Lepisosteus oculatus: one gene and its partners. The protein of the gene in region 3 interacts with the protein of the main gene of each other region in a pairwise test. Links are inferred from orthologs where the notes say so. Each region holds a gene or a part of one and is shown on either strand. Other genes may lie near its edges. The genes, in order: CCR4-NOT transcription complex subunit 4, mul1, ube2e3 and rnf167.

Region 1 (7,015 bases), on a different chromosome or scaffold from region 3:
GGCAACTTGATACAACCCAGGGCTCTGTAACCCTCTGCCCCACAAACAAAACAGTGATTGCAAGTTGTGAATCAACTTTGGTGAAATTTGGTGAATTTGAGCAAAGCCTCCACCTCTCCCTCTGCTGGGCTGGTAAATTGCCTGCAGTGCCTGTAGATAAATGCCTTGACGGTTGTGAATGCTATAGAGATGTACTTGGCAGAACTGTGTCTCCATCCTTATTTATTTCTATTTACATTAAATGAGTGTCTCACGAAAACTACTACAAACTAATATAAACTAATATAATTTCATGAAAATATCTGAACTGTAATGCTGTATGTTCCCCAGAGAGAAAAGGTGATAACACCTGTGTCCCTTCTCATCTATTTGTGAACACAGATTGCACAATGCCTGTAGTTGCATTGGGTTGCCTGGGCAACGAAACACTACTCTAGGTTCCATGATGCCTTGTGGTGTCACTCTTCAGAAGAGTGTAAGTCCAGTAAGTTCCAGTCTAGGTCTGTATTACAACTGTGCTTTGCAAAGCTACCCAGTGCATACAGTTGGTGAATTTCACCATCTGGAAGGCACAAAAAAGCAGCAACAACTCTATTTCCATGTTGTGGGCGATGTGCTTGAAACTCAATGAGCACCTTTAAACTAGTCAGTGACAGCTACAGCATATGAACAATTAAGAACACTTGGTCAAGCTTACATTGATCTGCAGCTATGTGTGCAACAGAAACTGGCTTTTGCAAAGCCTGATCCATGTTGGGCATAATCTCAGAGAACAAGAGCTAATATTTTATAAGAATGGTGAACAGGATGACATTTTATATCAGTGACATTTTTCTCCCAATCTACAAGGCAGTCTGAATTTCTTCACAAACTGTGAAGCGAAGCAGAAAGGCTCTGACTGAATGTTTTGAAAGTGAGGTGTAAAATCTTGCAGTTTGAAATGCTACTGCTCCTTTTCCTTAGCCTAAGGGTTTCTGATTAGGCTTAATGGTGTAAAGTAGAAAATATCTAAACAGTGACTTTTTTAAAGTAACAGAGCTATTGTTTAACCTGCTTCAAGCCAAGCTGAATGATATTGTATTTTTTATTCCACTGATTTGCCAAAGAGCTGGGTAATTTTGGAAAGAGGTTTTGGAGTTCAGTATACATTAAATCAAGGTAGGAAAGTGTGAGACAAAAAAGTGCAGATGACAAAACATGCAAGTACCTATTTTTGAAATAATTGATAACATCACTGAACAGTTCACTGTTAGATCAAAGAAGTGTAAAACGAGAACTAAATCCAAAAAGGTTTACAGAATTCCAAACAGTTCCTCCATGATGCAATGAAATCTCAGGAAGCATCATATCCCACCTTTGTGACCGCAGCTGGCTCCGCGAAAAACTGCATGATATATACAACTCTAGTCTGCAAAGGAAAGAGTTTGACCAGCACAAAATAATGCACAGCTGGTCTTCCAAAATAGCTTCTCTGAAGTTAACTAACAACCTTAATACTCATGATCCCCTACTGTATGATTACAATCAGAAGATTTTTTTCAACTTTGAAGCAAACAAAACTCATCACATGTAATGCTCAGGACTGCGAAAGCTCTTCAGGATCAGCTCTAAGGACAACCGAAAAGGAGCTGCACAGCTGCACAGCACAGTTTCTAGTTTAATCACTGAGAAGCTCCCTAAAAAAGATAAATGAATGTATTCTCAATTGCAATTGAAGTATAGTAACAGATTCATAATATTTTATTGCATTTTTTCATTTCTCCTTTTTTTGGTATTGTGAAATACTCAGGGTATGCCAGTTGAAGACACACTTGTAAGAAGTAAGAATAGTATTTGTCAGACACATTACAGTTAGACTCTAATTGGTGTAAAACAATTGTACTTGTTAGACAGGATCAGCAGCAGAAACGTCTGCTGTTCCCCCCTTCCCAAGAGAAGAATGAGCAAGGCGTTGTGCAATTGGATGCCATTGCTAGTGAGAAAAATAAAAGAAAAGGAATCAGCAATGTCAGCATGCACAGGCCAAAAATTACTCAATAACATAGTCACGTAATAGGAGGATGGGGGGCTGCGGGGAGGCTACTGTATAAAGGTATTCAGAGGTTTAGAGTTGTAAAAGATCATCCAGGAAGAGGATGGAAGGTAATAGGTTAGAAGTGTATTGATATAGATGGTTACCATTCAGCAAGCAGAGGCTGAGCATCACAACATGAAAAACATGACTTAATATACAAGGACAAATACACATTTTGTACTAACTCAACAAACAATAAGAAAACACTCTAGCGCATAAAAGTTGTAAAAAAAGTTCTTTTTAGAGCGCATCATTTCTATTGTCACCTTTTCAACAACGTTTCAACAAACGTTTTTATCTCTATGAGTCCCAATGGAGATCTAACTGTACCAGGGACGTCAAAAAGAGGATCATGCATACCATTTCTTCTAGGACTGTTTACAACCCAGACAGGCCCCTCCTCATTCATGAGCCATTATGTCACTCAGAAGGTTGTGATGGGTGACACCACAAGGCATCGTGTAAAGCCTCCGGACTAGTAAATCTTCTGCTGGCTGTGCCTTCTGGACAGGAATCATCATTAACGTTACCTAACAACAGCATCGGGACTTTGCTTGTGCACAAAGGAAAAAATTAAAAGATAAAGAAGATTTCCATTTCCATCAGATTTCCTCATTTCCATCATTCTCAACAGCTGGAAATGAGGAAACGAAGCAGCTGTAAAATACTACGCAAAAACTAAAATACAGGATCATGTAGCTTAATTCTATGTCTATTACGGAGTTCGACTATTTGTACTGTTATCGGTCTTATCCTTATCTTATACGCCACTGACTTTGTCATTTTCTGTGTTGTCTTGAGCAAAGAAACTACATGTATGTACTTTACAGTGTTGCTACGACAGGTGTAGTAGCCATACGGCTCAAAGTAGAAACACCGGTGAGAAACACGGCTGGAAAACGGTGATGTGTACCGGTGTCGAATAGTATTCCAATTCGACCAAAATTGTTTCTGTTGTGATAACGATCCTTATTTAATAAATGTACACTAAAGTGATATTCTTCTTTTCAGAAGATGTCGCTGGGGGTTATGTTGCATTAGACAAGGTGAATCTTTCCCCCTTCTATAGGGGTATGTAAAGGTTCTGATAAACGTCACACTAAAGTTAAATTATACCGTATTTGTGGTTAATATTCATGTGGGGGCGATTGTTTTTTGACGGCGTTTCAACACTAAAGGTAGAAAATAAATAACATTTTTGTTTAAAAATTAAGCTTTTCTTTTAAAATATTTTCTTGTTACAACTTAATGTTTCAAATTAAGATTTTAAATTAAGATTCAATTTCCGATTAAAAATCGTAATTAGGAGTAAAAAATAAACTTAATTTAACATAGTCTGAAGATTTAAAATGTGTTAAGCAACCTAATGTCTGAGCTTCTAAATTATTTTTAATTGTTCAAAAACATGTCATAAAAACTTTTAAATTCTAAGTCGGATGGAATGGGCTTCGGATAGTTTCTCAGTCGCACAAGAAGTTCCGATATGACTACATTTCCCAATTACATCAGAGAAAGGGCACGTCAGAGAAGTAGAAAAATCACCCCTCCCCCATGTGTAACAATTTTCTCTGTTGAGCTAGAGCATCTTGGGATTTGTAGTACTTAAAATGAGCAAATTATGTATTTGTGCTATTGAGGTGTATTTCAAGTTGAATGTTCTTAAAATTATGGTTTTGTTTATATGATGCTTTATTGATACGACACTATACAGAAATAATAAACCTTAAGATTTAATCAAATTTGCTTCAATGTGTTTTTACCTAAAACTACATTAACCACATGCCCCGAGAGACCAGCAGGCGCGCACACTCACTACGATGTGAATGTTCAACTCCCCCCCCCCCCCCCTCCTCCCTAGTCCAATGTAAGATGGTGGCTAGAAGGTGCTGCTGCAACATACAGAGAGGCTGAAAGAAAAGGCAAGGCATTTGCTCAACAAATCAAATCCAAACTGAACAAAAAAAAAACGCAGAAAGAATTCAAGGTGCCTGCTAACACAATTCTGGGCAGTTCAGAAAGATAATCAATCCCCGCCCCATTTGATCTGAATATACCTTTGGAGGAGTCTCAGAGAGCCATAGAGAGACAGGGTGAGTATCCCACAAACTATCACCATAAACTAGGATTCTGGGATAGGCTAGTGGAAGATATGTATATGTTTCTATAAAAATCCATCTTTCAGTAGATTCCCACCCTTTCTCTTTGGCTCCTAGTTATGGGAAGGAAGCAGCGTCAATGTCTGTGTGGAAGTGTCTTCTGTGTTGGGATCCGATTGGAGGGAGAGTCCGCAGGCTTTGCCGGGGCTGTACAGGCCGCACTGCTGCGAGTGCAAAACGCCTCTTGTGTTTTTCACTTTAGATATTTTGCTACACCCTTGCTTTAAAAGAGGCACTGTGCCGCAACGCATCATAATCGGGTTGTACATGAAATGAAATATCCATGCCATGTGATTTTTTCAGATTTCGCGTTCAGTGGAAACGCAGGATGCACTTGACCGGCTTTTTGATATTGCGAGCGCAAAACATCACAATTTGGGGTGTGTAATGATTGAGATCAGACACTCACAGGGCTTGCGTGGAGTAAAAGAAAAGGCAACATATCCCTTGGTTAAGAGGCTAATTGTAAATAAAAGGGATATGTTTATTTAAGCTAAATCTCCCACTTTTTACCACTGGTAATACGCCAATGCTTTCGTAATGTGTCGTAGCTACAAAATATTATCAGGAGTGAAATTGTCCTGTGGTCTAAGACTTCTAGAAGAGTTGACCGGCAAACTGTGCCATAATGGTTACGCTGTGCTATAATATATTCCAGCAGATTTAATTTTAATTACGAACTCAGGGGAATGCGTTGTTTTCTAGAAGGAAGTCACCGAAGTGTTCAATTCCATTAAATCATAAGTTTAACATTTCCTCTTCCTTATTTAAAGGTACATTACGTTATAAATTGAGGACCAGTCGTGAGACGTATCGTGTTGGTCTGTTTGTTGCGTTGTTAATCATGGACAGTTTTAAGTCAGTTGCCTTTTTTCTAAATAAATGTTCAAACCTATAAACCTATAAATGGTAGGATAACATTATGCATGCATTTCCAGTAGTACTTTAAAAAGATTAGCATAGCTAGTAACATTGTATTGTGAAAACAGGGATTTGCACTATAAATGCTTGGGAAGGAGTTTTAAAATGCAGTGAAAACTGCACAATGATAGGTATATTTTGTTTTTCTGGGATGCTAGGATATATATATATATGCATATGCTCTTCGGGTCAAGTTGGAAGTAAAATGATTTACAAAAAGATCAGGAATGATGATTGTGTTCCTCCCTATTATTATATTTCCCTGAATAGATAAACTGCAGGTCTTCAATCCGTGTGGTTTTCTTTTCAGTGTTGTTCAGTATTGTTGGGAACGGCTGTCTTTAATGTGGAAGTGCCAGAAAAGCTATATCCAGCTGGAGGGGTTGTCTTTTCAATGGAGGGTGTCTCAAGTGAAGCAGAGTTTTAGTTGTGTGTATGATGTGCACAGAAAATTGACTGTAAACAAGTGATAAAGAGTTCACACGTTGCCAGTGGTGTGTGTCACCTCCACAATTAAAGACAAATGACAGCATCTTATCGATATGTCCCAAGGTGGTTGAGTAGAAGCAGGTGATGCCAGAAAGCTATGAATCAGGAAGTCATCAGCATGTTTAAGGTCAGCCTGAGGAAACATGTATGTATCCAGGATAGATGCAAAACGAAATGTCTTAAGGCAGTTGGTTATTGAAGTTACAAAAATATGAAATAATTTGCCTACAAAGCCTTAGTGCTCCCAGGTTAGGGCACAGAGAGTAAAGCCAGGACAGTGCATATGCGCTCCATGTCTGGTACATCTATTACACCTCATGTGTCTGCAAATGAGTGATAAAGGCTAAGTGCTTCTGTAGTTTCTCACAGTGGTAACATGAACATTTCTTGTTTTAGGCAATTAAAATGGCCCATAATATTGGTATGTGATATTTGTGGTGGCCACTTTTTTCCCCCATTATCCTGAAAACCTTTCTGCGGTGTCTTGTGTGTTATCACAAAGCTCACTGCATAATATATTCAAAAGTCAGAAGAACGGGTTAGTTTCTCTTCAGTCTTGTCTCGGAATTGATAAATAGATATCTTTAAACAGCTAACCATCTCTTCAAAAACATAGACGTTGGCAAATGGCATCGTTGTGTTTTCCTCTGTGCTGTTTGGTAGGTTAGGATACAAAGATATGAGAAGTTGGATGTTAGAATTTGTATGACTGGTCGTTGTGTTCATTATGTTTTCATCATGTTCTCTGTGTTTCTCGTGTAGTTTCAAAATGTCTTTAATTTTGTTTGCTGATGTCTATTGTCCAAAACCGGGAAAACGGAATGCATATTTATTTTTGGTACCTGTTATGATCTACCTGCAAACGATAAATCAGTAAGGACCAAGGTAATGTACAATTACCTTGCATATTTAAAGCATATTTAACAGACTGTTAAGTAACTGCAAAAGTTGTCTGTTTTCTTTTGTGTATTTTGGAGTCAGGAGTCTCTGAACCACTTCAGTGTTAAAAGGCTCAGCTTTTAGGCCTGAGTAATGTGAGATGTTGCGGTAAAGTTGACCAAAACCACAGAAATTAAAATTCGCTGGTTTTTAGACATTTAAGCAACATTTAAGAATCTCTACACCATTTCAATGCATCTCTTTCAGTTTTTGAGAAATTGTATCTACTTTAATTACACTTTATAAGCTATCTTGCTTCTAGGAAATATGGAGAGTGCCAACCTTAGCTAATAGCTGTGGCTTTTCTGCCTTTAAAAGTATCTACATAATTAAAATGTTTTTTTTGGTTACTGGAAAATGTCCTAATTTGAAAGTTTTCCAGTCATTTTTTACCCATTTATTATAAAGTGCCTACTACCATCACAGCATTCCAAGT
Region 2 (7,738 bases), on a different chromosome or scaffold from region 3:
GTATTTAATTCCAATGAATACATTTAAACTTTTGTTTGTGTGCTGCAATATAGCCTATAACTAAATAAAATGCATGCTACATGTTCTTATATGTGTGATGTTTTCCATAACTGTAATTTTAATTAAGTTATTGAAGTGCTCCAATGGTACAGTAGTCACAGTCTACAGTATATACCCACTGCCCATTTGGCTGTTTTTATGAAGTACATTATGCAGGCTTGAACATCAGTTTTATTATTCAAGAACGAACGGACAGAGACAAGATTACTGCAGTCTGGCAGGGAGACATCATCTCTTTTAATTGAATATATAAATTGAGGTAGTAGCAACTAGGGACGGTACAACCTGTTAAATATTTTAAACAGGGCTTCCATTTCAGTTCTGTGCCTTTAAAATGCATTCAGTGTTTTGAAGGCGTTTTAATACTACATCTGCACAGGAAGTGAAACTGAAAATAAATGCAAACAGATCTTGGCAGACATTAAGCTGCAAAGTATGAATGTGGGCATGTTGGTGGGTGTACATTATGCATGATATAGGTCATTTTGCACCATTTAAGTATTTTTTCTGATGCATAATAATTGTGAGTGTCTACTAGAGTATTAATTGTGAGGGCTTTTAATCAAAATCATTCAATTATGTTACGATCACATTTTTCTCTTTAAAAATGCAGCTTCCCCACTTCCTGTTCTGATTTATCTAATCAAAAACACATTAGATAAATATTTAAAAGTTTTCAAAGTGGTACTCCTATTGCTTGAAGATTTTTTTTTTAATATGACCTTAACATTTGAAATATTACCTGCGTCTGTGGCTGGAAGGTTGCTGGTTCCTATCCCGCGGCCGGCAGAGGAATCCTACTCCATTGGGCCCCTGAGCAAGGCCCTTAACCCCAGCTGCTCCAGGGGCGCCGTATAAATGGCTGACCCTGCGCTCTGACCCCCAGCTTCTCTCCCAGTCTGTGTGTCTCATGGAGAGCAAGCTGGGGTATGCGAAAAGACAAATTCCTAATACAAGAAATTGTATATGACCAATAAAGGGATCTTAACAGTCCATCCCTATGAACTGGACATACAGTACAGTATTGTATCTAGTAAAAGCCATTGAAATTACGATAATGAATAAAAGAAACATAGTAATTGCTTTGATGTAACCACAATGTAAAAAAAAACATTTTAAAACATGTCTTATTAAAAGGAAAATCATCACATAATCCTGTGGCAATGATCTATACCTCAAAAAGCATTGCAGGCAAGATATATTATCTGTTAACACATAACATTGTGTTAATTACTGTTAAAGTCAAAGTACTGGATTTTCTATTTTCTTAACCTTTAATTTCATAGATGTTCTCATTCACCAAGATATTAAAATGAGAACGTGCTCTTCAGAGTAAATAAAATCTTCTTATGTCACAGCCATGCAGTTTGGGTTATATGCTCACCTCAGTCTCATGTTATTTGAAATGTTTTGCACAGTGTACTTGTCATCAGTTTATGCATTTGATTCAGGAAAATTTCAATTCTTTGCCATCATATAGCATTGAAAAGTTTCAGCAAGCTGGACCTTAATTGGGAAGAAAAAAACAATTAAATCACAAAGCACTTTTGGACAAACAATACATGATGTATTGTGGATACACAGTTTATGGTACAGATCACATATAACAGATCATAAATCACAGCATTGTCCGAAGCCAATTTGTTTGATTACAAATCCAATCAGCTTGGTAGGGGCTAAAATTAACATTTAATTCACAAGTTAATTAACAATTCAATTAACATATGGTCGGTGTTTCAAAAGACATATTAGCACTAAGACTCGAAAGGTGAAATACAGCACAACACACTAGCGAAAATCAAGTCTAAATAAATATAATTTATTGATCATTTCAAAGGATAGCAACAGGGTTAATTCCATCTTACAAAGACAGCTTAAAGGATCAGAAAATCATCCGTCTTGAACAAAAGAAACTACAGTAAAAAATAATGGAGAATTCATCCATCCTTTTTCCAACCACTTTATCCAAAGCAGGATGGCGATGGAGCCAGAGCCTATCCCAGCAGGCACCAGGTGCAAGGCAGGATGGGACACAAATGTACAAAATAGTAAGTAGTCTCTAGCAAAGAAAAAACTTACATCCAGTGTGAGAGTTGTGATTTCTATTTGGTGTTTTTTACCATGGGAACATTTGATACTTGCAAATTTCTAGACATTATTCTCATAATCTATTAAGCTGCCATTATTATCTTGCACAATTCAATTCCTAACAACTGTAAAGACCTTCTAGTACATAAATATGTAATGTAGATCAATGTAAAAATAGTTAAAATATCATATTTACAACAGTCAAGCAAAATAGATTAATTTAAATACTGTATTACAATGTGCAGAAATAACAAACTGGGATGAGTAACAAGCTTTGAAAGTACTGTCTATATTAAATGAAAGAAGCTCAGTACAATGTATCACAGCAATACAGGGAATAATTGTACATAAAAGTGTGGTTTGAACAGGTAAATTGAGGAAACACCAGAGGGTAACTGAGACCTGATGTTTTTAGGTACCTGTTTCCATGAGTGCAGGATAGGGAAGAGAAGGAACAATGATTGTAATAGATAACTGAGGGACCAACAGAATATCAGTGGAAAGGATGAGAGGATGCATATTGAGCATCATTAATTGGTCACCTAGGGAAGAACTTCAGAAAGAACAGCATAGTTCTGTTTGCTCATTTTCTTAGAACCAAATCTGAAGAACACCAAGGGCTCCAAAAAGCCCAAAGACACTCAATATGTTCGCAGTATGTTCTCCCCTCTGGTCCCCTCCAGAGCGCATTGCCTTTTGTAAACAGGTGGGAAGTTATTCTGAGAGGCTTGGCTTTGTTTCTGCGATTTGTTTACTTCAGTGATTTAACTTGACAGCTAAATGTTGACTCTCCGTGTGGGGGAAAAAAAAAATTATATGAATTGAAATATTTAATATGAATTAAAATGAATTAAAATGATTTAAATGCTGCATTTGTTTGCTAAGTAATTTCAGGTTTATTTATCACTCATTTGTTTTGCTTCCCCAGATTTTAAGGAATCGGATGACGGATCACTTACACAGGACAACAACTATAGCTGCTAACATAACTGTCACAGAAGACATATAATCCTGAATACAATCATTAGGAGGCTATAACAGTAACAGCGTGAGTCAGAGTCACCAAGCTGTGTCATTACAGCTTCTACTTCTGTTTCAGTATGGCCCTCTACACATCACCAGGGATGAGGTTTTCTGAATATTCGAATGGCAAACTGGACTAAGGGTATAATTTTCCTGAGCAATCACGAATATTTGCAATAGAGACTACAATGTTCCATTGAAATCTCTGTAAGGAAACAACACTGTTGTAGTGGTGGTACTGTAATGCTACTGGGGCCATTCATGTCCACCCAAAGAGTTAGTTTATGATTGATAGTGCTTTCGCTGCACAGAATCATGGTATGCTGAGACCTAAGCTCAGCCCATTGGTGCCTGATGATGGTGAGACATGGCGTTACCATAGTAGCAGCACCTGCACTGCATGTCAAAGTGCTAAATTGTCTGGTGGCAGTAAGCAGGTGTTGGGCTTTTGCAGGGTGTATCTTAATTGTTTTGGCAGCCATAGTTGTGATTTCGCTTGAATCATCTCATTTGATTAGTTGATTAAGTACCTTCTAAGGGTAAGTGGTGCTTCTAGAATGCAGTGATCGTGGGTTGAGGTGCATCATGATACCTTCATCTGAGCAGATACACAGTGTCCTTTGCACATGCAAATTCAGAAGTAAACATTACATTCCACACGTAATCGGGAGATAATGAGGAATACAGAAAGGGAAACTTGGGCCGCAAGGGGTTTATCAACGTGCATTGCTCAATTGATCACTAGGGTTGACTATACATATACCTTCTCTTTCTAAAAGTGTTTTGGTATGCTGTCATTTCAGGAGAAATGCTTCAGTTATGGGTGGCACAGTGGTTAATAGTGCTGCCTCACAGTCTAGGGCTCTGGGCTCAAGTCCAGACCTGGGGTGCTGTCTGTGTGGAGTTTTTTATGCTCTTCTCGAGTTTCTTCCCACTGTCCAAAGACATAATGGTAGGTTAATTGACTTCTGGGAAAATTGGCTCCAGTGTGAGTGTGTGGGTGTCTGTGTGTCCGTCTGTCCTGTGATGGAGTGGTGTCTCATCCAGGACATACCCTGCCTTGCACTTGTTGCTTGTGTGGGTAGACTCCAGCTGCCCCCCCTGACCCTGAATTGGGAGAAGAAGTTAGAGAATGGACTGATGAATGCTCCAGTTATATAATGATATAGTGAACTATAACTGGCAGGCTATTAATGTGGTAAAGCACAGAATATTAGTGAAACTTTAAATATACTTTGAAAAAAAATGCTGAAGCATTCAAACTAAGCCCCTTGTGCACTGAGGCCTTTTTTGAGAAGAAGAAAACCTATCGCATCTATCCCATTGTTGGGGTGTGACAGGTAATTATTACTATAGAGAGAAAACTATGTGATGTCTTAGATAGGTCAAAGGCTTCTGAGCACAACAAAGAATTATTCAGTTTATAAGGAACTAAAGATGTAGGCAGGATAATATAAAAAGCGGTTTTCTGATTCAATGTCGCCATCTGCCGCTTGCGGGCTGTTCAGATAATCGCTCTCAGCAATTCAGGTTCCTTGGACGGTCGTTATTATCTATCCAGGGTGCGGGGCGGTTTTTACGTGGGCCTGTGGTTGAATAAAGTAAATCTTTAAGTTAATATTCGAGTCACGGAGCCTAATATTGTTAGAATATTAATACTCAGTGAATATTCCGATTCATAGACGAAATATGTTTGTCTTCTTCGTAAAGATATTCTTTGTAACGGATGCCAAAAGACCAAATTAGAAGCCCTAAAGTTAGCTTGAAAAGTTACGGAGATTGTAGCCACTTGGACCAGGAAGGTAAGAAGAATCTTCCTTTGACATACTACAAATAAATTGAAGATTTTGCATCTGGCCGTGATTCCTAAATGTAATTTTCCGTGTAATTCGTGTTTTTTAAGCAATTGCAGCTCCCCGTTGACGCTGTGTTTACGTAGCTAAACAGGAAGTCGCCTAAAACGTCCACAAATTGACCTACTGTAAACACGGCACGTTTCTAAGTTAAAAATGTTACAGTATATAAGCAGTAAGCACAATGTTACAAATTGTGATTTTTATTTATTGATTGCATGTATGTTCTCGGCGTTAGAATAGCTAAAGTCAACACAAGCACCGGAAATGGAGGTTTTAAATCCATCACAGTTTCAACGACGTAAAATTAAACTAATATAAAGCTTGAGGTCTGCAATTATATGAATACCAATAAAAACGAGATTTTCGTTTCGTGATTCGTGGTTAACGTCGACACGCTAAGTTATTGCTTTCGTAGCATTGTCGGAATGCTATTTTTGCAGTACGTTTATTACAGCCAGGGTTGAGTAGAAAAGCTACCACATATGTTAAGGAAGTTAATAAAAACGAAAATATAGACTAACATGGGCTCCTTGTCACAAAAGGAAGCCATAATTCCATGCTTACGACTTTTCTACAACCTATTGGATGCATTTAAAAAATATTTTGCTCTCTAACCAGATAATGTCCATAAGGAAAAATAAATATGTAGCTACTGTATGTGATAGAAGTCAACCCAGTGGCCTGTACAGTATATTTCCTAGATGATAATAATTCTTCACAGAGAACAGAGTGATGAAGCCAGTTAATGGATGGGGATCATTAGGAGACCATAACTGGTAAAAGCCAGGGGGAAATTTGAGCAGGACACCTGGGTAACACCCCTACTCTTTGAGAAATGCACTGGGGTTTTTTACTGACCATGAAGAGTCGGGACGTCAGTTTTTTCTCATCTGAAGGACAGCACCTTTTTTATCGACTCCTCATCTCTATACTGGGGTATTAGGACCCACACAAACACAAACCTTAGCTTTCCCATCCGGGTACTGGCCAGGCTCACACCTGCTGGTTTCAGTGGGCTGCCATTCGTGAGTTGTAGAGTGATATAGCTGCTAGCTGTCTGACTTTGTTAAAGCAGTAGTGATTTTAATTTTGTTAATCTAAGTGATCTAAATCAGATAGTTTTAAATGTGTTTTTTCTTTGCATTTGATTGATAAAAAATAGAAGTTTTTTTTTCATGTGCAGAGCTTCCAGCGAATCAGCTATTCTTAGTTTTTTTTAATAGGACTAACAAAGGAGCTTCAATTAATTGCAGTACTGAAGACCCTTAGAAAATATAAAGGACCTGTGTTCAGGCTCAGAAAGTCCTCAGGAAAACACTCCCAGGACTGAATTTGTTAAATTTGGAAAAATATTTCTGTTGTAGAAAAGGATCATTTTCCTTAAGCTTTCCAGAGAACTTGAGAGCCCTACCCTGGAGTTCTGTATCCAGCCTGTTGCAGTCTGACTATCCTGGAAAATGACTGACCTTGTTATATTCCAAGCCAGCAGTAGATTGTTTCCGAGTAATTGCCGTGCAACAAGAAAAGCTATGTTTTAGGTTTTAAATTACCCATTCATCATGTATATTTCGCTTGTATAGAGCAATTCGACACAATTCTCGTGAATGGCAGATCTGTATTATGTTTCTTTTATTTTTTATCTTGTGGAATTGTCTGTGAAGAAGCTTGATATTATTGGCAGTAGTACTTCTTTGTGCCACTTGGTGGCAGTGTGTATCATGAAACTATGCGATTGTACATAACCTCTTTAAAATATGAATACTTTTATAATTAAATATCAGCTAGCAAGGAAAGTGATGCAAAATTGTATAAAACAGGTCCAGGTGAGCCCCAATCCAATATGTCTTATCTTCCACCCTATTTAATGAGATTCCAAAGCCTGGGGCTATGATATTGATCAATTAAACATATCATTTACACAATTAAGAGAACTTTAGTATTTGAAAACTGCCTGATCCAAATGATTTTAACTGTTCATTTAGTTGAAATATTAATAAATTAATGATTTTAGGATCACCTATAAGGTATTAAAAGGGTAAATCACATGGTGGCAGTTTCCTCCTCTTTATTCTAAATTCCTGTGTTTCACAAAAGTAGTTAAAAACTGTGAATGTACACTTTTTTCTCCAGTTCTAATTCTGATGTTATGCTGTTGGAGTATGTTAGGTGTATGTAGTAACAGTGCTTTACAGATCTATTTAGACGTACTGTTTCCCGGTACTTCACGAAAAACCAAAGATTAACATTTAATAATGAAATAGCTTGCATGCTATTTACTGATAAACAGAAATAAAACTTTATGATTAATATGTGTCCATCTATTGCCTTTGGTTGCATCACTTTGTTCTGGAGGGGTGTATCATATCATATCATAGGGTATCATATCTGAATTTTCCTCTTCTACACATTGCATAAACTGTTAAAAGCATTTTATAGTAAGTTGATGAGTAATTGCTTGTTCTGCACACAGTGTAGTTACTCAGTGTTGTAGCCTGCCTGGTTGAGAGGAAACTATTCTAATCATTAGCTAGCAGAATGATGTTGCAAAATAATTAAAGAAGTTTACAGTCTGTACTCTCAAAAGCTATAGCAGTTATAAATTACACTTAGTCTAATTCTTTTATCTTTGACAAACAGTAATCTGATCAGATTAGGCTCTTGGCCAACTTCCTTTGCTGTGTTAAATTAGATTTCTGAGGCTGCATTGATGG
Region 3 (7,163 bases):
TTCCTGGAATGCCAGCCTTGTAACAAAACTCAGAAAATATCTACTGGCATCTCATAAACTGCTTAATATATCAAAACCTCTAAAAACATCAAATGGCAACTACCAGTTTTTGATTTTAATAAACATTTGTCAGTCAAATTAGCCCCCAAAGAAAACAAACGCAAACTACTCTACATACCTGCAGTTAGGCGGAGGATCCAGAGTAATTTCAGCTAGCTCCTTCTGAATTCTGTGAGAAAATGAGAAAAGACTCTGAGAATTTAAAGTAGTCGGGGAATTACACTGCCCTCTACCACCACGCAGTTAAATGCAAGACTGGCTTTCCCTTCAGTAAAGCTAACATGGCTGCTTCCTCTTTGTTCTCAGAGGCATAACCCGAATCCCATAACAGGAAAACTTTGCAGCATTTATTTCTCGCCTTCTCTTCACCTTATAATGCCACTCTTCACACCACCATACAGGTTTCTTTTATAGGCATCTGACAAGACCGCAATCTTCAGGTTCCAGCCACTTCCTGCACAAAAGATTTTCTTTTAAAGCTTATATGCAAATGAGACAGAAAGGGAGGGGGGTTGCTCAGGCATATTTGACAAGGGCTTTAAACCAATGCTTTAATACTGTTACTAACTTAAGAGCATGCAGGTAAAATGAAAATATTCCACTTTTTTTCATTTTAATGTTTTTCTATGCTCTATTCCCCACATTTTGTAAACTTCATTTAAAATATTTTTTTTCTTGATTTAAAGTATGACTCCAAGTGTTCTTAATCTAAAGCCGTGATTTTCTTGCTGCAGCAGCTGTCCGATCTTCCTCCACTGCATGCTATTTGTCCCTGCCTGTGCTTTTATTGTAAACAGCAGCCTAATGTCACCCAAAATCAAAGGTGATCATATCGCGTCACTCGTCTATTCAATGAGGTCTTACAGTTCTACCTCCTTTTGACTTAGAGGCACACAAAAGTAACAATAGGAAAGTTGTTAAAAACACATATGGAAATGAAAACCCAAGACTTCAAAGTCACACCAACAGCATAGAAATGTCAAACTCATTTGCCGACACACCTGTTTAGTCCAATAAGCAGTGCATCCTTTTACCTTAATACAGAACTTGATCCTTCCAACCATAAATTATTAGCGAAAGAAAAAAAGAATGATTCAATATATATCTGATGTATGAACATAGTAAAAAAGTGACTCCTTTTACTCATGATTAAGCAGTAAGAACTGACTGGAGATGTTAAGAAGTTGGGTTTATGAAGCCTTCAGTGAGTTACAAACTCAAAACCTACCCTTAAATAAAGAAACCATCAACTAGAAAATCATCTTTCATAAAGCAATTTGTCTAAAAGAATGCGTTAAGACATTGTTTAAAAACTTAAAAACATTATATGTCTAGAACATCATTTATATTAAATTAGACCTAATGATGGACCGTAAGGGTGGCCTCTCTTACAAATATGTGAGAAAACATTAACCTTCAGGAAACCGCAAACACGCCGATTTACAAAAAAAAAACGAAACAAATGTTACCTTTTAGCACTGGTGGACAGTTTAGCTGTTGTTTTACTGGATAATTTGGTATTTTTCTTTTGCTGCTGAGTTGCTGTGGGCTGTTTTCTCTCTTCTTGCTCCTCAGGTTCTGGTACCGGCGGATCCCTCTGATCCGCATCAGAACTGCCACTGCTGGTGCTCGGACTTTCGTCGTCTGAACGTTGTCTGTCACTAGACATTTTCCCCCTTGAACAACAAGAACTTCTGAACTTTGACTGGAGTTGCTACACCACCCTCCCTCCCCACCTCGTACTTCACTAACAGCACATAAGTGCTTAATCTGTGTTTTCTGCACCGTTTCTCTTTTGGATATGTTTATAAACAGCGCTACTTGCCTATTGATTTCCTGAATGCACTACTTGCATTACTGATTGCTGATAAACTTTTCAAATACACACAAATGCCATTGCAAGCTTTGAAAGGTAGGTTATTTCCAAGCGTACTGATCATTACCAGCCCCAAATTAATAATGTTTATTGTTAGGCAACTGTTGGGATTGTAACTCGTGCAACCTATATGTAGCTGTGCAGCTGTAATCATCTAGAAACTTATCCATTAACTATTGTAGGACGTGTGTTTTTAGTAAGAATGAACAGAACTCTATACACGAATTCGTGCGGGACCCGCAAGAACTGTGCATTATTGTGTAGAATTCTGAGGTATGCACGTTATTTTAGTACTGTGTTTTCCTTCTGAAGGGCAGGCGATGCACGCGTTTCCAAGCGTTGATCAGAAACGGTAAATAAACATCTATTTCAATATTTAAAATGATTATGTGCCGCAAAAATTAACAGTCAATAAACAGCTTGTAAATATTTACACTACCCACCGTGCATTTGCATCGTTGACAGTAATGAAGTATTTTACATGCTTTACAGAGACATAGCTAATTCTCTTTCCATATTGCTATTGTTTAGTGCGAGTGGACTTTTTTCTTTGCCTCTAAAAGCATTGAGGCTGGAATGTTTTGAGAAAATGACACGGAAAAACACGGCTATTTACATCGCCAGCAGCACACAGAAATTGGTCGGATTCGAGAGCTGCAAGGAAAGCATAATTGCACCTTTTCACAGCGAGGGGGGCTAAATAAAACCTTTTTATGTTTCGCTCACTTTAAGGAAGGAGCGTCATTTTACCGACGAATAAGAAAATATAACTAATTTGCCGCGGACTGGGAGCAAAGTAAAATTTGCGGACCCGAGCTTTAAATCCTTTGTAGAACGAAGAGGTTTGTTATGGTAGGAGGCACTCCAGTATCAGCATGGTGTACCAACTGATGCGTGAAGTCAGTTTCTAGCTCCCTCTCTAGCGACAGCTGCTAAAAATACTAAGAAAGGACGATAATTCTCCCCCTACCCCGGACTCTTCCTATACCTGAAAGCTTCTTCTTTACCTTTAGCGCGATCCTGTCCTGATCTGGGGCGGTTACGAGTGGTAAAAATCCTGTGGAAATGGAGCCGGGAAGACGACAGGCTCCGGCCGAGCTGTGAACATTGGAGAATCGGAAGGAGAAGAGGGGTTGTAATTCCAGCTTGATTTCAGCAGGTGGCGCTGCACGGCGCACGAGTCTCGGGACTCGGAGCAAAGCTGTGAGGCGGAGGGAGGACGGCTCTTCTGGATCACTCCCTCCGCAGGATAATGTGCCAAAACAGCCGACTCAGCGATTATGGTTCTGGCTGCCACTGCTGCGAGTTCATTCTGAATTGAGAATCCTGCGCGCACTTAGGATTTATTAAAAACAGAGGGCATCTACAGGAATTCATAAGTGCCAAGGACAATGTTTTTTTGTTGTTTTGTTATGCAATAAATTAAAGGACCGGGAAAGGACAAGTGTCTGCTCTCATTTAGCTGTGTTCCAAACTTTTCAGAGTGTAAATTCTATGTGGAATCTTAAGTAAAGTTCTGTACTTTCCAACATCAGGGTGCAAGTTCACCAGTTACCTCAGTGACTTATAACTGCCCAGTCAGTTAAGGGTAATTACTACGAAGAAACTTGAAAACATCTGGACAATCGTGTAAGAAGAAACCTTGGTAAGCATGGCAAATCAGGTCGTAATGCGTTCTTGGAGAAAATAACTGGATATGTCATGGTTCTAAATAATTTACATTTTAACGTTTCGAATAAACCATGAGACTGTGGCTGGTTCGTCTTTTATGTTTTCAAGACCGATAAACATTTTAGCAAAATTGCGACTCTTAAAATGCAAGCAACATTAAAAACGATTTGAATCAACAGTGTCCATAGTTTGGACTCGAGTGCGGCGTCTAAAAGGGCAATCATTCTTTTTTTTTCAACGAATACGACGCTAAAATATTTGCTTCATGCACAATAAGCCAGGAAGAAACGAATCACAGCAATTATAAATCTGGAAAATAGACATGCGATGAAGTGCCTTCTCTGTGCAAAAAGCAATCACCTGGAATGATTTGCAAACATTTTGTTAACCATGGGAATTTACGCACTCCGAACGTTAAGCGATACAGAAACCACCTGTGCTTGAGAGAGAAGCATTATCTAGCCATGAAATGAATGATACTTGTTCTGAATACTGTAAACACCAGGTTGTTTTTAAAGAAGTTGCTTTAGTTAAGGTTTTTCATTATCATCATCAAAATGTGTCATTTAAAACTCACAACATTAGAAAAATGTTTACGTTCATTTCTTGATTTTGTTTCACTGAATAAGACAGATTACAAGAAAAATAATTACATTAGAAAACGCGTGTGAAACGTTTTAAATTGATCTTCCATAGCTGGCTTTCACGCTAACTTGAACTTTGCCCGTGCTCCAAGCTTTCCAGGAATGATGACATCACGATCAAGGATATGTTAAAGATAGTTTTGGCGTTTGTTGTCAAGAACAAATGTGCGTCTTTCTACAGTTATCCTCGGGAATCCTCTTGCTTGATTTACATAACAATGACAAATATAACAAATGTTGTCATCAGTTGCTCTAATAACAGTCATTTGCTTTTAATAAGAACTGTACTTATGTGAGTTTTTATGTGTTAAAGTTGCATAGTTTAAAATTTTATTCCAGATAAGTTATTTGTTTCACCATTTACCTCATATTTGGAGAAGCTTACAGAAATAATTTGTCGTTTCCTACACAAGAATGCCGTTTTTCCTTTTGAAAGGAAAACAGTGTGGTTCTCAAACTGATGAAGAAAGGGCCCAGGCCAATTCTTAAATTAAAAAAAATAAATTCCAGAAAACAGATGAAAAGGCTTGTAATAATGTTTAATGTTGCTTTATTAGCCCTATACAATTTCTTGCATTAGGAATTCATCTTTTCGCATACCCCAACTTGCTCTGCATAAACAACAGACACACAGACAGGGCGAGAAGCTTGGGGTCAGAGCACAGGGTCAGCCATTGTACAGCGCCCCTGGAGCAGCTGGGGTTAAGGGCCTTGCTCAGGGGCCCAACAGAGTAGGATTCCTCTGCCGGCTGCGGGATTTGAACAGGCAAACTTCCAGTCACAGGCACAGATCCTTAGCCACAGAGCCACTGTTCCATCCCACAGCCACTGCTCCACCCCACAGGTGTAAGTGTATTTAGTCTGTTTTGTGGGTCTGTTAGAATATTTTCTGGAATTTTCTAAATCTGCTCTAACTGATTTAACTGGTCTTAATGTAACTAATGCGTTCTTTCAGGACCCTATGCAGACAACACAATCCAGGGAGGAGTGAGGAAAAACCGGGAAAGTATGCAAGGGGGCTGGAAGGAAAACAGGGGGCGTGTCCATGGTGCACTGGTGTTCTGGGGGGGTAAGTCCAAGGCAAAAAGTCCAAGGAGTGTCCATAGGGAAATCCTTGATGAGGCAAATATCCAGAGCCGGGTGGTCCATTCAAAACGAAGACAAATGGAGTTAAAAACCGGAGCTGGATCCGGCGGAGGGTCGGGGGGAAAAAGGGGGAACGGGACCTGGCACTCCAGGTCCCGGACTCGGCTGGTACTGGAAACCAATGAAGAGCCCGGAACACAGTGAGTGTCTGGCTTTAGTAGGGAGGCAGGAACAGGGAGCAGGTGCACAAAATCAACTCAAATGTGAAAGAGCTGGAGTGCTCTTAAGGGGGAGGGGCTGCAATCGTGACACTCAATGTCCTTTTTGCATGAGACAGTAATATTCTTCCTTGATTCCCCAGGCATGCATTTCAGTTCAGTTTAATGTGTTCTCTTATGTTTAAATTAGGTAATTGGTTTTGCCACAGAAATCCCTCCTTTCCTGTCACGTTACATTTCCTGTACCATTCCTGAGGAGGTTTGTCAGGCATCCCAGTTTGAGTCCTGGTGCCAGTTATAGGGCCTACTGCTCAATCTGTCCACAAGTTCGAAGCTGACTTTTCTTTTTCTTAAGTGTGCTTGCAATGCCAGCTGCTGGCAGTAGGCTTTCTTAAGGATTTATCATGGCAAGTTTTTGCCAGTTTGTCTGAAATCCCTGCTTCTAGTAAACTGCAGTTGTGTTTGATTGCAGTGGCTCTGTTATCTTCAAAAGGTTTGATAGAAGCAGCAGGGTAATCCATTTCTGAAGACAGACAGGCGTACCTTTGTAGAAGGTGTTTTCTTCTCAGTGCTCTTCGGGAGGTTTACTTTGAGATACAGATTAGATTCCTTTCTTAAACTGTTGAAAATAACCTCTCTAACTTAAACAATTTTTGTAGTGTTTTTTTTGTGTTTTTAATTGGAACTGCATTGTTTCTGAACATTGAAAATTACATAAATTGATGGTGTTCTTTGATGTCGTCATTCAGTATGGAGCAGTGTTTTTTGACTGCTCCAGTGTGTAATTTTAAAAAACGAATCAATTGGGGCATATCTTTGATTAATTGGAAATCTCTATGTATTTTTTTAAACCAATGCAATTTCCTCCACTGAGATAATAGTACTGTGTAGTACATGGCAATTACTAATGAAAAAAAAATGTTTTTAATAGGTAATTGATATCTAGAGCTCATCCAAACAAAACAAATCAGTGTATCAGTTTCAATAGCATGTCTTAGCCTGTTCCAGACCCTCTAGATTGTTCATGTAAAAGAGCTGTCTCCAGTTAACTGTTTTAAATACACTTCTCATTGTTCCACTTGTGTCATCTGGTTCCTTTTGCACTAAACAGGTTGGCTCCCAACGTTATTTTTGCAAAGTTAGTGAAAGTTCGTGGTGTTGTTAATGGTGATAAAAATCAAGACCTTCTAAGGTCCTAAAGAGGCTTTAGGTTGCCCAATCCAGAATCCTACACTTTGTGTGCTGAGAAAAAGCACTACATGAGCACATAATCCCCCCAAAACTTAGATTGGACTTTAAGGTTTTTCCTGTTACGCAGAAGATTTTGAATGGACTAGCTTTATGTTATTTTAAAGATTAATAGCATGAGCATACTCCATCAAATGGCTGATAGAGCCTTGTCTTGTGTAGCACCATGTCCATGGAACTCATTTCACAAATCCATTAGATAGTCTGCAACTCGACATTTTCAAATCTCTCTTAAAGACTTATCTTTTCACTTAAGCTTTTAATATATAATTTAGTTTTACTCTTCATATCACAGTCAATTTGCTATGCTTTCTCTTCCCATTTTCCTTCTGTTATTGTACAGTATTCTATTGTACAGTG
Region 4 (7,828 bases), on a different chromosome or scaffold from region 3:
GTCATTCTCCTGCAGTCAGAGCATGGCGTGCCCAGGTGCGAGATCAGAGGTCATTCTGCTCCCATCAGGCCAGCGCCGCATCTGGCTGCAGTGCAGAGTCAGAGCGTAACATGTCTGGCTGCAGCTGGCCTCGAGCCCAGAGTGCACTGAGCCCTTCCTCTTTCACAAGGTCACTTACTGGAAGCGAAAGAGTCCCAGGAATTTCACTTTGACACTTCACATGACGTTACGTACTTCATGGTGACTTTCAAAACACAGAAGCTCGCCGAGACGGAAGGAAAGGCCCACAGCAGCAGGGCCTGGGCCTGGCGCCTCGCCCTCTCCGTGCCCCGTCCCTTCGACTCTAGGGCTCCCTCGGGGGAGTCGGGGTCCCCAGAGCTCCTTCCCCATCAGTTCTGCACCGGCTCGGACTTTGACTGGGACGCCACCGCAGCTGCCCTGATCACACCATCAGAGCTGCGCCCACTGCACGCTGTCTGAACGCCCAGTTCCTTCCCCAGTCGGACATGCGTCCTGGATCTGCCGTCATCCTTCTGGATGTTGACAAACCACCTTGCCAGTGAGGATCCGAGGAGCTTCGGAGGCATCAGGGCAGATTCCCAAGAGTGCCCAGAAGGGCGTGTAGTGCCGGCACACGGGAGCAGACCCATTCCAAGTGACAGCAGACCTCATTAATCAGAAGACACAGAATTCCAGCTTCCTGGACCTGCGGCGGATCCCAGTCCTGGTTCTGGAGGTCCACACACTGGGTCTAATCACAGCTGAGCTCTCCGTGACACAATCGACCCCTTGACTGAATAAATAAAAGTACTGATTCGAACTGTTCCTCCGTTTTCAGCTCTAAAATATATTGGAAGTCACCTATTCACCCATGAATTCTGTGAGCAACCCTTCAAAAAACTTGCAAGTGTTCCCATCTACCAACTTGTCAGCACAATTAAGGTTACAATTTAGCTGGAATGAAAACCAGCAGGTGTGTGTGGGGTCCTACAGGACCATGACTGGGAGCCCATGTGTAAAAGCTGGGGTGCCGTGGGTTCACTCAGCTCTCGAGTCAATGGGTGGCTTGATGGGACAGAGGTTTCCGGTCTCTAACACACTTTCACACTGTGAAAGTACTCTGTTAATACATGTCCTGAGGCAACTGCTGTATAAATACCTTTCAGACAAATCTGGCACCTAATTCTCCTGCCGGTGTCTCTTTACCACAGGAGGAAGATCAGGGTGCAGCCCTGCTAGACCTGTTTCCCCCCCCAACACGAAAACACACGGAAGGCCGCAGGCGAGAAGAGGCCACTTTGGCTCTGCCAGGAACCTGCTTGAACAGCCCAGCCTGTTCCAGACACCCACCACACTTGGTGTAAAGAAGCACCTCCCATTCGCCATCTGCAGAGCACTGCTGCCTGTGCTGTTACAGAAAGGAGACTGGCCAAGGGATGGCCTGCCCCATGATCAGGGCTACTGATCCCACCTGTCCACCGTGCGTCCAGGGACACTGCAGTTAACCCTTCTCCACTCAGAATCAAAGCCGAATCCCAGAATTCACTGTTAAAGTTTACTCCAGAGTTAGTGATCGCTCACAAACTCTTCACACGCAGCGTTTCTCTCAGTTCATTCACTCCTGTCTAGTGCACACCACATCCAAGCATCTTTATGATCACAACACTGACATTTTATGATCACAACACTGACAACCTGATGCATCTTTGAACACAGGGCCAACACAACACATTTTGGATGTTGTTAGCTTTATCTGACTTATACCATGATAATTATACTAACAGTAAAGACCTCACAGTGACCTGTACTATAATTATAATACTATCAGCAAAGACCCCACAGTGCCCCGGGCTGTGATATTACTAACAGTAAAGACCCCACAGTGACCCGTAATGTAATAATGTCACCTACAATAAGGACCCCACAGTGACCTGGACTGTAATAATGTCACCTACAATAAGGACCCCACAGTGACCTGGACTGTAATAATGTCACCTACAATAAGGACCCCACAGTGACCTGGACTGTAATAATGTCACCAACAATAAGGACCCCACAGTGACCTGGACTGTAATAATGTCACTAACAGCAAAGACCCTACAGTGACAGAAGCCAGACTTCCAGTGATCACCGCGGACCCGGGTGGCTGTTCAGAAAACCAAACGATCAGGACTAACCGAACGGCGCTGCTCTCGTCGGACACTTTATGTTCTTCTAGAATGTGCCCTGTGTCACAGTTAGAAAAACAAACACAAGAACAGTCACCCCCTTATCAACTTCTCGCAACCGAGCTGCTAGGACAAAATGTGAACAATAAGTCACATTTTACACAAATAGCTGGCTTTACCTTATCAGCTAACATGCATTCGCACGGCTCCTACATCAAACCGCGGTGTAAACAAAGTCTCTAATCTTGTCCAGAACCGGAAAACCCACTTTTAAAAAGCCCCTAGCCTGTTTACTTTTTGATAACCCTTTTGCTCAACACGGCCAGTCGATTGCGCAGTGGTATGCATCACACATAGGCAGGCTACCCAGAGCGTTCAAAATAATGTTAAAAATTAATATTAAGTCAATGATCTAGCTACCTAAGTTAAGAGTGTTACTTTTTTCGTTTTGCAGGGACTAAAATAAAGTACCGCACCTTCAAGACTGAAGAGTTGTTGTTTTTTTGTGTGCAACCAGAATTAAAACATTCGACAGAGCAGTCCGTGCACATCGCCACAATAATAATTGTGCTGACCATAAAAATACATTTCTTCCGGTTTCGGATCTTACCTTTCAACTACAGTCGTCGAGTCGTTTGAAGTCGACAAATCTGTTTCGGTCTCGCTTTTCCCGTATTATTTTGAAGGTTTTTGCGGGGAAAAAACTTCCAGTTGTCTGCCGTGCGTGCTTGTTTCGGAAAATAGCCTTTCCTGTGTGAAAGTACGATGTGTGTTTACGTAAGATTTCACATCCCCCCCATCTCTGTTTCGCTCGTTAGCTAGCTAGCAGGGCCGTAGCTACAGGCGACGGATCTCTGTGTCTGGATTTCCTGGCCTAATCCAAGATGGAGGCGCCCACATCCCGGGCCTCGCGTTATCTGGACGCCCGTTAACCCTTTCGGGGGAAGCCGGTGAGAATGGAGATCACTTCCGCCCCCTCACCCCGCGTGGACCCGTAGACAGATCGGTCGGCAATCACCCCCCCTCGCGCTCTCTCGCGCTGATCCAGCAGACAGAGGCTGACATTGCTCCCCGTTTCATTTCTGATCTTGAGTGGCCGTGGGTGGGGAGTTTGCATGGTCTCCCCGTGTGGACTCCGCTCCACTGCCTTAAAAACACGCAAGTTCAGCTACCAGTGTCTGTCCTAAATTCCCCCTTTCCGTGTCTCTGTGTTGGACTCATACCCTCCAGAAAGACAGAGCAGCTATATTAAAACAGATTTAGCCTCACCGTCAAAATGGGCGAAAGTATATTATGGTACTGGGTTTCTGTTTTTCATACGGCTTTGTTTATTTACTAACGAGCGGGTGGTTGTAAATCGCCTTGGTTACAGGCATTTGCCCAATATATCATCGATCAGTAGATCGCATCTGCCATCGCCTGGCTGTCGCTAACCGTGATATTCGGCGACCTACTAAGTGCGATCAATATGGTGCGTCAGACCTGGCTCATTTGTCTAAGTTACTTGCGTGCTCAGCCTCCGCGGGGGCTGCGTGTCTCAGTGAAATAATAAGCTGTTATTTCGGAGCGCCCGCCTGCCCCTCTGGCTCTGTGGACAGCTCTTCCTGCGGGGATCCCCAGACGCGTGCTGTCCACTACAGCTGTGCTGCTCTCGCACACACGGGGGCCAGATATCAGGACCAGGCGGAGGAGGGGGGGTCTTTTCACGAGCCTACGGCTCTCCTCCCTGAAGTACTGATTTATCCATACCCTGCGGAAGGCGTACAGAGACATGGCAGTAGTGATGTACGAGTGTGAAACAATCCAGGCTGGTCGAGGTGTTTTGCTCCATTACGGTATTGTTATCGATCTGAAGAGATCGGTTTTCCGCGACCTCTAGTGGCGAGATTCTCGCATTACAAGCACCGGACAACGCTGCAGAAGAGCCTTGAAGCCCTGACCTGTACAAAACGAAATAGCCTTTCCTGGCATGATGTGTTTATTCACGGACTCGCCAGATCTCCAAACAAGACCAAAAGGAAAGAGGAACATCTCGGAGCGGTCCTTGAACAGATACCCCCACCCCGGCAAGCGGGCAGAGAGAGTCCGTTCGCCTTTCCGCATCTAACATTGTGGCGCAACGTGCTGGGTTATTTTACTGTGCTTGGAAAAACTCCTCATATCGGGGCTCTTTTTAATAGAACTAGTACTACTAATAGAGCTACAGGCGAGACAGTTCTGTCAAACGAGAGACTTTTGCTCTGTTTGTAGTTATTGCTCTGTTGATAGTCCGTACATACTATAACTATTCTGTACCGTTTTGTAATGTACTGTCCACGCACACGGCTGTACTACAGTTGTCTGTCGTACTGTGCCATCTGCTGGACCGAGCATGTGCCGAGAGATCGGCGCGAATAAGAATTCTAATGTATATGTACATACGACAAATAAAGGCTAATAATAATAACAACAACAACAACAATAATAATAATAATAATAATAATAATAATAATAATAATAATAATAATGTGCGCCACAGTGTTGGATAAATCAGTTGGAAAACGAGCGGATAATAAAAAACGAATTCCTTATTATTTATTAGTATTTTTCATTCTTGTTAATGTTCTCTATGAAAACAAATTGTATTCAATTTGGTAAATAAATTGCCTTTGGTGCTGTGCGTTTAGCGCGTGTCAATCCCTGAAAAACTCGTGAAGGCCACGCGCGGTGACGTCATCGTCAGGTAACAGGGGCGGCCCCGTGATCTCACGCGAGACGTAGCCGGCACCCGCCCAGCGCCTGTTCCCGGAGGCTTTAAAAAGGGCACAGCGCCGCCTCTCGGGCAGACCGCAGACATGGCCAAGAGGCGAAGACGAGCGTCCCGTCCAGTGCGCAGGAGGAGGCGAGTCAGGAGGTCCAGTGTGAAGCGCCAGAGGAGGAGGAGGAGGAGGACCAGGAAGCACCACTGAAACAGTTGGAGCACTTCTGGCAGGAGCTGCCAGCTCAGCTGCACTGCCCCCTGCTGGCCGCTGGACTCGCTGCCCTCAATAAAACTGGGCTAGAGATCTGATTCTTGTTCTAATTATTGCATCTGCTGTCTTGGGGTGAACCAGGTCTTTGCGGTCTGTGTCCTGGGTTAACTGGTTTCAGTCTGACCTTGTGGTCAGCAGTTCTCTCTGTCCTTTCCTGTGTCCACCTGGCCTGCTGCCCATCTGACCTGAGTCAGCCACGCTGGCTGGTGCTCACTCCCTTCCGAGCTCAGTGTTGTGTCTGAGTCGTGCACACATACACACTCACAGCTACATGAGCACATAAACACCCTTGCACAGATGCACACACATAAACACACGTGGACATATATGCACGCGCGCGCATGCATGCATGCATACACACACACAAAAGTTGGAGGAGGGAGATGCGTAAGTATGCATGGGCTGCAAAGGAACAGGCAAACCTGTTATTCCAAGCAAAAGAGACACAACGTGACACAGCTGAAGAAGGCTCCTCGACCCCCTCGTGAGTGCCTCACGTTCACGCTTATTTACTCCAGCTGTATACAAGTACACAGTGGAAGGAAATATCGTTCCTCCTCGTCCAAGGTGAAAATACAGGCAGACAGGACACTGACAAAGACATTGTAGACAGGATAAACATAGTGCAAAGTGCAGATGGTCCAAATTACAAGGTAAATACATCATACATAATGCCTGGTCAGCTCGTTGAGTCATAACAGCATGCAAGAGGTCAGCTTCAATCCCCCACTTCCCTGTGAGATAATTGCACTTAGATCCTCATTAGGGCTGTTTGTCTACAGGTCAGCGTGGGAATGATGACATCACGGGCACAATCAGGTGCTAATTGGGTCCAGGTGGGTCTGACACAGCTGGGCGGGTGAAGCACATTTATAAAGCAGATTGAGAGCAGGTTTTTCAGTTTGTTTGTGTTGTGGTTTGGTTTGTAGGGAAGCTGCTGGCCTCCAGCTTTGTGGTGGGGGTGGATGAACTGTAGGTGGGTATGCTTACGTTCTCCTTGGTTACTTTTGAGCTCTCTGTGTCTAAGTCTGTACAGGTGCTCGTGTGCCAGCGATGCGATGCTCACAGCTCCTCTGCTGGCTGGCTGCCCCTGAGCTTCTGCAGGTGTGCTAGTGGATGGGCTGATCTAGACTGATAGATGCCTTCTTCACCTATGATCCTGGGAGGGCATGGGCTTGAGTGACTCTTCCTTTGAAATGTTTATTTTCATTCATTTTATTGTAAGCCCCTACAACAATGAATGATACCCCATGCCCTGGACTCCTGCAGCCCTCTGTGTAAAAGACAACATTCTTCTTTCCAATGCTAGCATCAGATTCTGTGGCTGAGGAAGCCGTTTGAGGTTAGAAAGGCTTGTTTATATGGGGAAGAGAGATGCTTTACACAGAGAGTGGTGGAGGGTGAGTTCTAAGTGGGACCCTTTAATAAAAGCTCACAGATGGGGGGGATTAATGCTCTTGTCGCTGAGGTCTTTCAGCAGCAGCAGGATGGAAACGTACAAGGTGACCGTGACCACAGGTGACATGGTGCACTCCGGCACCTTCGACCGGGTCTTCATCACGCTGGTTGGGTCCGAGGACAGGAGCGAGCGCACTGTGCTCTCCACTGAGGGCCAGGACCTGTCCTCTGGCATGGTGAGGAGGGGAAATGCCTGTGGAGGTGGTGTTGGAGGGGGACTTCATATAGCACTCTGGCTTGCGGAGATCAAGTCTGGATGAGTGGGCTTAGATCATGATAGTGTGGCTTAAAATACCATTGATGACCAAAATATCCGGTCTCCTCTTGCCTGGGGATAGATGAGACTTGGTTCTTCTCCTGTGTCTGTTCAGGAAGGCTCTGCCCTGCTGGTATTAAGACCCCCTGTTCTTGTAAGAACAGCTCTGTGGTGTGTTAGACTGTACTCTTACTCCAGCAGATGCGTGTTCACTATGTACTGGCCTTTATCTGCAGGTCTTGCCTGCCCGGTCAGAGAGCTGTCCAGCGCACTCTAACCCACTGGGGTGTCATTTGCCGCAGGTCATGGAGCTGGCAGTCTCCGCCCCTGACCCGCTGGGTGACCTCCTGTTCGTGCGCCTGGACAAGGAGCAGGGCTTCTTCCTGCCGGACGACGACTGGTTCTGCTCCAAGGTGGAGGTCACCACCCCCAGCGGGGAGACCGTCCTCTTCCCCTGCTACCGCTGGGTGTCGGACAAATGGGCTGTGGAGCTGAGGGAGGGCAAAGGTCAGGGTTTCTCGTGCTTAAGCCTGGAAATCTTGCGTCTGGCTGTAGGGTTGTGATCAGAGGGATGTAGGGGACACCAGAAGCTCTAGACTGGTTTTAAGCTTTTTATGCTTTTTTTTTTAAGCCAAGAAGGTGTTTGAGGACCAGCATCCCATATTGATACAGCAGAGAACTGGAGAGCTGGAGTTATGCCATAATCTGTACAGGTGGGTCTGATCTACGGTGGGGCGTGAAGTGAAGTTTAAAATGTCCGACTATGGAAGTGGTGATCTGGCCAGAGGTTCGCCCCTTTCCCACTTTGGTTTCTTCCTTCCCTATCTGCACAATCTCAAGTGTTGATGGGCAAACGGGCATGAGCCAGGTCTGCTGTTGCCTCGAGCAGTTCACCAGAGTTGGGGGGGAAATCATGTAATGTTCTTGTGAATGCC

What was found.
Region 1: the proteins of ube2e3 (region 3) and CCR4-NOT transcription complex subunit 4 interact in a two-hybrid assay, tested with the Homo sapiens proteins (3 studies listed by BioGRID and IntAct). The link is inferred for Lepisosteus oculatus from reciprocal best matches to the Homo sapiens genes UBE2E3 and CNOT4.
Region 2: the proteins of ube2e3 (region 3) and mul1 interact in a two-hybrid assay, tested with the Homo sapiens proteins (2 studies listed by BioGRID and IntAct). The link is inferred for Lepisosteus oculatus from reciprocal best matches to the Homo sapiens genes UBE2E3 and MUL1.
Region 4: the proteins of ube2e3 (region 3) and rnf167 interact in a two-hybrid assay, tested with the Homo sapiens proteins (2 studies listed by BioGRID and IntAct). The link is inferred for Lepisosteus oculatus from reciprocal best matches to the Homo sapiens genes UBE2E3 and RNF167.

What each region holds. Positions count from the first base shown.
Region 1 is NC_090702.1:25,323,556-25,330,570, forward strand, and holds the start of CCR4-NOT transcription complex subunit 4, read left to right. Parts: upstream 1-3,932; 5' UTR 3,933-3,993; exon of another isoform or gene 3,994-4,164; intron 4,165-7,015. UniProt on the Homo sapiens protein: Has E3 ubiquitin ligase activity, promoting ubiquitination and degradation of target proteins. Involved in activation of the JAK/STAT pathway. Catalyzes ubiquitination of methylated RBM15.
Region 2 is NC_090720.1:10,745,030-10,752,767, reverse strand, and holds the start of mul1 (mitochondrial ubiquitin ligase activator of NFKB 1), read left to right. Parts: upstream 1-4,707; 5' UTR 4,708-4,973; intron 4,974-7,738. UniProt on the Homo sapiens protein: Exhibits weak E3 ubiquitin-protein ligase activity. E3 ubiquitin ligases accept ubiquitin from an E2 ubiquitin-conjugating enzyme in the form of a thioester and then directly transfer the ubiquitin to targeted substrates.
Region 3 is NC_090707.1:18,945,517-18,952,679, forward strand, and holds the start of ube2e3 (ubiquitin-conjugating enzyme E2 E3), read right to left. Parts: upstream 3,053-7,163; 5' UTR 2,944-3,052; exon of another isoform or gene 2,925-2,943; intron 1,752-2,924; exon of another isoform or gene 1,737-1,751; 5' UTR 1,730-1,736; coding exon 1,530-1,729; intron 230-1,529; coding exon 179-229; intron 1-178. UniProt on the Homo sapiens protein: Accepts ubiquitin from the E1 complex and catalyzes its covalent attachment to other proteins. In vitro catalyzes 'Lys-11'- and 'Lys-48'-, as well as 'Lys-63'-linked polyubiquitination.
Region 4 is NC_090698.1:10,553,192-10,561,019, reverse strand, and holds the start of rnf167 (E3 ubiquitin-protein ligase RNF167), read right to left. Parts: upstream 3,114-7,828; 5' UTR 2,779-3,113; intron 2,668-2,778; exon of another isoform or gene 2,645-2,667; intron 1-2,644. Other genes in the region: polyunsaturated fatty acid lipoxygenase ALOX15B-like, read left to right, coding at 6,541-6,813, 7,130-7,400, 7,525-7,613.